Tribolium castaneum: one gene and its partner. The protein of the gene in region 1 interacts with the protein of each later gene in a pairwise test. Links are inferred from orthologs where the notes say so. Each region holds a gene or a part of one and is shown on either strand. Other genes may lie near its edges. The genes, in order: Ccz1 and Mon1.

Region 1 (4,098 bases):
TAGAAATGAAGTGGTAAATTAAATACTCGGCTGCCAATTCATCTCCACACATTAATTGTGTTAATAGAATCAAAAGTTCTTTTCTAATGATCTGCATTTTATCAGCGCTCATTTTTTCGTGCGTAACTAATGGATTATTGTGAGTCAATGATTTGAACGACACACAATGAATTCTAGGAATTAAACACGGAGGAGGATTGTGAATTTGAGACTCCAGACCGTTCATATCATCATCAATGTTAGCCCCTAAAAGCGGATTGAGGGACAAAAAGCCCACAAATTCACAAATTGAGTTCAATTTAATCTTGTCCATGTCTTTGTATACTTTTAAGTGGCATACTTTGCCAGACGGATTGGGGATTGGGAAATTTAAAAGGTACTCTTGGGAAACAACAGGTGTTGTTTCTGCAGGTTGTGCTGACTGATTACATGGGCGCTTGTTAGAGTTTGATGGTTCAGTTGCACTAGCGACTTCCATTTCTTCAACGGGTCGTTTTAAGTGCACTGAAGTTGAAGAGCTTGTAGACGGTAGTTTGTACCTGTCCTCCTCAAGCTAATTTTTTTATTACACAACCCCTCAATTAAAACAATACTCACTTTATGAACCCATGGATTAATACCAGGGATTGAAATTGCAACGTAAACATGCCGCTCACTTGGAGTGGTTGAGGGACATTCCTCAATGGTTTCATTAGACTGTCAACACATACTCAGCCCCCGAATAGCTTTCAAAAAATTACTCTTACCTTACAGTCTGCACCATCAACGTATTTGCCGTATTTAATAGTACTTTCTGCAGTTTCAGTGTTTGTAACAGTGAATTTTTCCAAGTAGAGTTCGGGACCGTGCATATCCTGTATCATGCCCTGGAAGCGAACCAGTTGCCAGTCTTGGAAATTGTGCAGCTCGTTTGCATTCAACAGTGGAATCTAACAATGTACAAAGTGTTCAAAAATTGTAAAAGTGTAACTTTCTAACCTGATTCCAGATTTGTTCGTTTTGAAGTAATTCCGAATATTTCGTTTCGTTTAGGTACCATTGGTCGGGCCTACAGTTTAATAAGTCCATTTTTGCACTCGTTATTATTATTTTTAAAGAAAAAGGAACACCCGAAAATAACCTCGAAAAAGGGTTACACTTTTTGGCGCCAAATTATATGTCAATCTTTGCGTTGCAACTTGCAATTTCCCTAATCCCAAACAACTTTAAAAAATATTAAAGACACTTGAGGAAGGAATAATTATACAATAGATATGCTCTAGTTCTAAAACTGACGGCAAAAGTAGGTACTTTGGTACCTGTCCGCGTATTTTTAATGTTTGAGATGTATGGCAAATGAATAATATGGATCAATGGATATTGCTAAACATAACATAACCTAGTAAAAATTTTGGACTTGAAAAATTTGTTTCTAAAAACATAATATTATTCAATAAGTTTCGAACCGGAATTATGAGTAAAAACAAAGACGTGGAGTTAAAAAACTTTTTTATTTTCAATTCTCTATATGGCCCCAAGGAAGGGGAGGTGCGTACGCCCCTTTTAGAACACAATCACAATGTCTTTTCCAGGAACTGAAAAAAATTCTTTATTATTATCCAATATCTGACAATGCCGATGTACAAATAAAGAATGTGGGGTTAGTTGAGGGGATCATTCAATTCACTGGGTAAAGTGTTTGAGATAAGGGGCAAAAAACTGTAAGATTTCTTGTAGCACATTTAAACCAAGCACTCCAGTGAATTCACTACATACGCAAAAAATGCGTCAATTGTATTTCCAACCAGAAAAAAATATGTGGATTGTTTTGGTATTTACACATCTTTAATCAATACTTTTAAGCACTAAATATTATAGACGTTAACTTTACCAACCGAAGTTAAGGGGAAGGACAGTTCAACTCAAATCGAATATCTCGAGGATGATGTACAAGACAATGTTTACGAAGCCGTCTTAAAACAAGCCTATTACACGTATAGACTTTTCTGGGGCACTTTTGAACACACGATTGAGAACCACGATGTGGGCACACTTAAAACAAGACTTGAAAGTTTCTATAAAGCTGTAAGTTAACAAGATTATTTAAGAAATTTTAATTTATACTTCACAGTATCTGAAAACCTTAAAACTAGGGCATGCTGATATTCTGAACGTGTTCCACGGAATTCAGTATCTGCCTCTTGACAAACTAACTTTTTTAAAAGTCCAATGTTTTATCAATTCACTTGAATGCGAGTATCCCGAAATTGCGTACACAGCGTTCTTATACAACGATCATCTCATATGGTAATTAATTCAAATAACTTAAAACTTGTTTTATAAGTAATAACTAATTCAAAGGAGCGGTTTTGAACCCAAAGACATGAAAATTGTGTACCAATATTTAATTGGCACTTTACTGCCCGCCAACATGGAGGCTGAACTTCAAGGGGGCTCAATGCCCCGTAATTCTGTTTCACCTTTTGCTGCATTACATCACGGTCGTTTCATTACGGGACCTACAAATTTAAAAACAGCCAAAAATGTGGGGAAAATACCCAAAGTTTATTTATTTGCCTCAGGGAAGGCCGAGTCCTACAACTTGGTGGTTTATAGGGCGCTAAGTGCGTCCGTTTGTTTATTTATGAGAGGTTTGTTTCGTTTGTTTGGTTTTATTAAATTAATTGTTAATTATAGCCGACAAGGAGTTAAGTTTGCAATATTTCAAAGACATGGACGAGTTCATTAGCCCCAAATTGACTGCAATCGTGTCAGATATTTCCGAATATTGTTCCAAACAAGTGATTACGCCATCAAATGTCCCCGAAAACGCTCCAAGGTTTATCTATTTCAATAAATTGAATTTGGCTTACAAAAGCACAGCGCATTTGGATAATAAACAAACGGGAAACATTGCATGTACCAAAGAATCTTTAAAAATAATGGCTGATTTGAACAATAAGAGATCACTGTTGGGCCACTCTAGCGAGACGATAGTCAAAACAATGAATGACTATTGGGTTGTTGCGAAAAACTCGAATTCTAGAGAATTTTACGTGGCTTTGCAGCAGAAAAATGCAAGTCTTATCGACATAAGCGGTAAGTATAAAATGTTACGTTATTTTTTTATTTCATTAATTTTTGTAGAAGAAATAAAAAAATTGTGTGATACCGAATTAAAAGGCATCTTCTTCCACCCACTGTAGGATTTGGTACAAAAAAAAACACGATTTTTATTGCAAAAATCATTTATTAATAAGTGTACATAAGTAGGCAAATACAAAATAACTTAACACTAAATCCTAAGAAATCACAATATTGCAACTACCATGGAGTGTGGCGTTAAGTAGTATAAATGAGGTGAGATTATTTTTTGGGGAAGAATGTCAGTTCAGTGTGAGTTTGTGCGAACAAAACGTTCAGTTGCGAGTCCAAACCGACATTCTCTACCCTAATAACGTGAGCTTCATTTCTGTTGGGCTCTTTTCGCACCACAGCCAAGCCATAGACGCGCATCAATCTCTCGCTGCTTTCGTCACATCCTCCACCGGGAATAGCAATGGCAATGTGGCACATGACGTCAATGTGGACGTATTTCTCAATCGCGTGCTTGCCAGACTGCGTCTTAACCTGGAAATGATGAGAAAAATTTAATCTCTACAAAAATTAAGTTCAATTCCACTAATGAAAATTTTTCATTACCAACCCAAAATTTTGAAAAACGATCTTGCATTCTTTAAAATTTTCAGAAAATATAACGTTCTAGTTGCGACTTACCTTCTCCATTTTTTCCTCAATTTGAGGCTTGTCAGCTCGCCAAACTGTAGCTTCACCCAAAATCTGGTCCCCAGCTTTGATTACAAACTTCATGTCTTTATGAACGGCTCTGATTTCCAAACCGAGACCATCGGGATGGTTATCAGACCATAGATAATTGTCAGGGTTGAGCAGAGAGTCAGGTTCGAAGGTCAATCGTTTGGCATAACCCATTCCGATACTTAAAAGCTTCAAAGCGCGTCCACCAAACAAGTGTTCTTTCCTGTCACTTGGCCTGACCTTGTAGTGGAATCCTGGGATGACTCGGGGATCCACATAAGTACCTGAAGGCGCGAAATGAGT
Region 2 (4,127 bases), on another chromosome or scaffold:
TTTTGAAAGAAATATTAAAAAAAACACATGAGTATAGAACAAAATGAAGCATTCAACAGCAAATGCTTTTGTATTCACAAAAACTTAACGTAGCAATTTTTATTATCATACCTTATTTATTAAATATTGCCCTCTGACACCTTTATGTTTTAAAGAAGGGTCTTTCATAACAGTCATAAATCCAGGGTCAGCCACTCCGTCGCATATTTTGATGAATCTATCTCTGTATTAAAAATAATAATAAAATATTTAAAGAAAATTAAAGGAAACATTACTGAATTTCATCCAATAAGGCATGACTAACATTGTTCTTTATCACAATATATCCATTATCTTCATAAAATTGGCGTTGTTCGTATGTTAGAACACCACCGTCTTGAGTATACCTAAATCTAAAAATTGTACTTATTAATATGCACTTAATTTTTTGTTTAACTAAATTACCTTCCCATTTTGTTCGGTAACGCAGACAATTCTCTTAAGAAACTTGTCCGAATAATACACTAAAACATAAAATTATCTTGTTTATTAAATACACTTGAATTATGTTGCGTCATTGAAGCATTTATTTATAACAATACAAAAAACATGTACTTAATGATTTCAGTGTCAGTAGTAAGTAATAACAACACATTATCGAACAGATACTCAATAATAAACAATTACTTTGAATTTACTTGTACTGTTTTTAATCAAATGTCAAGCATCCCACCGTTTAAATAAATAAATCAATGATACGAGAACAGTAAGAGCCGGTTTACAGAAAATTTTAATTGCAATTAAATTTTAATCGCGATTAACTTGACATTTGTCAATGCATTTTAAATGGCAACTTAATTCGAATTAGTTTAATTTCGAATTAAATCTTAATTTCGCTTTCTGTAAACCGATCCTTAAACTTATAATTAAACATACTGTCTATTTTTTTCTCGATTTTGTTACTTAAGTACCTACTACTTAAGCCGTAGATATACATATCGCTCAAATTGTAACACACTATAATAATTATTTGTGCGTAAAAAGGAACTAACAAATGCTTTTTCTTATTATCGTTGTTTGTTAGTTGTTAAACACTCACCTCGTTATCACAGCACGCAAAGTACAGTAAATAATAAAAGTCTTGACCTCTGCATACCCAACAGATGATCTAACTAAAATTTCACTATTTATCTAGTTAGAAGGTTGGTAATGCTATATTTTTAAATAAATTAAGTGTATTTCAGTGATGTATTTATTTTCAAGTTTGAAATAACATACTACTACCAAAATCAAAATTAATTTGAAACCAAAATGTAGTGCAATAAAATAAAAAATGACATTCTCTTATTTTTTACACAATAACTACGTATTTAAAAAACTTGGAAAAGCGGAAACTCAATTAATATAATAGTTGCTCTTAACTTGTTTAACCACCTTAAAGCCCTGCCTTAAGAGTTTTAGTTAGAAGTATTAGTTAGAAGGTTGGCACCAAAATTGACAACTGTCAAAAAAATGTCAGGTTGAGGTTAGAAATCAATCAATCAAAGAGCAATGCATTGAAATCTCAAAAACCCAACAAAATTCCGACGATTTTTCAAGAATGTTCGTGAATTTCACGTGAACTAAAACCCCCAACAAAAAATGTCCTCGAATCTGGAAGTTGAGCCGGGGGCAGCCTCCGAGAGTGTCCTTGTTACCACCGACTCCTTTGACAATTTTGATCACATGAGCTCGAGCCTCGAAGAAATCAAAAACCTGAATGCACTCGCGGAAAACGACTCAAACGTGGAAAACAGCAACGTCGAGAATTTTGACGAAATCAGCGAGAATCTCTCAATTAACAACGAAGAGGACGATTTCGTCCAGTCAAAGGAGTGGGCTTGTAAGAACAAACATGTCTTTGTCCTCAGCATGGCCGGGAAACCCATCTATTCGAGGTTGTTATCGTTTGCATAATTTTTTTCTTTACAACTTATGTCTCAGATATGGAAACGAGGATAAGCTAGCCTGGTTGTTCGGTGTTATGCAAACACTGGTTAGCTTCGTACAGTCAAATGAGGACACCATTAGGAGCATCCATGCCGGGGACACGAAGTTTGTCTTTTTAATTAAGAAACCGTTAATTTTAGTCGCCGTTTCTCGAACGCAGGAAAGTGTAAATCAGCTGTGTTCACAACTAAAGTGAGGGTTCCCACTTTGTTATTTTTTCTAGTTTTGTTTATTGCAGCTACGTATTTAATCAAATAGCCAGTGTCTTAACCTTGACTAGACTTAATAAAATTTACGAGCAACGCCAGAATTATGACTTAAGACGGCTTCTGGCAGGTGTTGAGAGACTCATTGACCACTTGCTAGATTTCTCAGAGAAGGAGCCTTCGTTCACTTTGGGCGCAGTCCAGTGTCTGTCACTTGCGTCCTCAGTGAGAGACAACATCAGCTCGGCCATTGTCGGAGCTTGCAGCAAAATTAAAGTAAAAAAATTGTTTCAAAAAACATTTTTAAAATATCGTTTCCAGAACCTAGTTTTCGCAATACTTCTCGCAAACAATAAACTTATCACTCTAGTCCGCATGAAAAAATATTGCCTTCACCCGGCCGATCTCCATTTAATATTTAACTTAGTCCAAGCCTCCGAAAGCCTCAAAACGGCTGAAAGTTGGACACCGTTATGTCTTCCACGGTTTGACGCTAGTGGTTTTTTATACGGACATGTGTCCTACTTGGCTGAAGACTGTCAAGCGTGTTTGCTCCTCCTGACGGTGGAAAGGGACGTATTTTTTGCCCTAAGTGAGGCGAAACAACGCATAGTGGAAAAACTGCGACGCAGCAACTGCTTAGAAGCAATCAATGAGTCGCTGAGTGCGAAAGAAGAAACTTGCATTGTTGCGGGTTTCCCCGAACTTAGGCACTATTTGTACAAATGCAAAAGTACAGCACAGTTCTACCAACCAAGCTTGACCCCACCGTACACCAAATATAACGAGAGACTAACAAAGTTGTACAAACGGGCGCATAACTTGTTGCATTGCTCGACGAGGCCGCTAAAGTTGTTATTTGAGAAAAACTCAGACGAGGCGATTTTGGCGTGGGATACGAGAGGTTTTGAGCTTTATGTAGTTTTCGAGCCCTTGATTGACACAAACAGTGCGATTAACTCAGTGGGGCGGCTGCTGAACTGGATTAAGAAAAGGGAGGAGAAGTTGTTTCATCTCAATGCGCCCACTTTTTGAGCCATTTGATTTGTATATATTATAAATATGTAAATTTTGTGGAAATCTAAGGTATAGGCTTAATCTGTGATATTCACAATCCTAAACTTGTTGATGTATTTAATTATTGATTGTATAAAACGATGTATTGAAAAATCAGTGGTGTCTGTCTCGCTCCCGTTTCCTGTCTTTATCCTTACGATCTCGCTCTTTTTCGCGGTCTTTCTCCCGGTCCTTGCGCTCCTTCTCCCTGTCTCTTCTCTCCCTATCGCGCTCCTTCTCCCGGTCGCGGTCCCTCTCCTTGTCCTTCTCCTTCTTGTGGCGTTCCTTACTCCGACTGCGATGCCTTTCTCTGGATCTGCTGCGTTCCCGCTTCCTCTCCCTTTCTTTCTTCTCTTTGGGCTTTTCTTCAACCAACTCGTACTTGTTTTCTTCCTCAAGTTCAATCTCTTCGTCCAAGTCGTCTTCAAGGGCCGAGATCTTGGCTTCGAGTTCGTTGCTTTCTTCCAAAACAATGCGTTTTTGAATGCGTGGCAAAATAACATCACAAACCTTAAAAATTAATTTTACTATCTACCGTAACAAAAAAAACACGTACTCGTTCCTCTCGTAACAATTCGTCAATAAACTCGTCCATGTGTACAATTTCAAACTGCGCTTGGCGATTTTGTCGCCGCAACTTCCTGTTGTCGTTGTACAAAGGCTCAAGATATTTGTAACAGTCTAAGGACGACCCTGTGAGTCTCATGTAGAAAGCACCGAGGGCTCTGACGTATTTAAACTCCTCGTTTTTGATGAATTCAACTACAATGTCTTTCTCTGGTTGAATTTGTAGCATTTTTAGTGTCAAACATAAAAATGGTGTTGGCTTTATATTGCCACCATAAACACCACCCACAAATCGTAATTCCATTGCCTTGTCTACTAAAAGCTCTGCAG

The links.
Region 2: the proteins of Ccz1 (region 1) and Mon1 interact in a two-hybrid assay, tested with the Caenorhabditis elegans proteins (2 studies listed by BioGRID). The link is inferred for Tribolium castaneum from reciprocal best matches to the Caenorhabditis elegans genes ccz-1 and sand-1.

The regions. Positions count from the first base shown.
Region 1 is NC_087394.1:35,479,678-35,483,775, reverse strand, and holds Ccz1 (vacuolar fusion protein CCZ1 homolog), read left to right. Parts: upstream 1-1,394; 5' UTR 1,395-1,452; coding exon 1,453-1,527; intron 1,528-1,571; coding exon 1,572-1,669; intron 1,670-1,716; coding exon 1,717-1,810; intron 1,811-1,857; coding exon 1,858-2,064; intron 2,065-2,110; coding exon 2,111-2,286; intron 2,287-2,340; coding exon 2,341-2,630; intron 2,631-2,676; coding exon 2,677-3,078; intron 3,079-3,126; coding exon 3,127-3,185; 3' UTR 3,186-3,279; downstream 3,280-4,098. Other genes in the region: mini-chromosome maintenance complex-binding protein, read right to left, coding at 1-553, 598-696, 747-929, 979-1,068; uncharacterized protein LOC655748, read right to left, coding at 3,346-3,609, 3,757-4,079.
Region 2 is NC_087396.1:19,985,416-19,989,542, forward strand, and holds Mon1 (vacuolar fusion protein MON1 homolog), read left to right. Parts: upstream 1-1,421; 5' UTR 1,422-1,620; coding exon 1,621-1,916; intron 1,917-1,962; coding exon 1,963-2,160; intron 2,161-2,206; coding exon 2,207-2,450; intron 2,451-2,495; coding exon 2,496-3,209; 3' UTR 3,210-3,344; downstream 3,345-4,127. Other genes in the region: phytanoyl-CoA dioxygenase, peroxisomal, read right to left, coding at 112-223, 276-392, 445-452; Prp38 (pre-mRNA-splicing factor 38), read right to left, coding at 3,345-3,740, 3,787-4,127.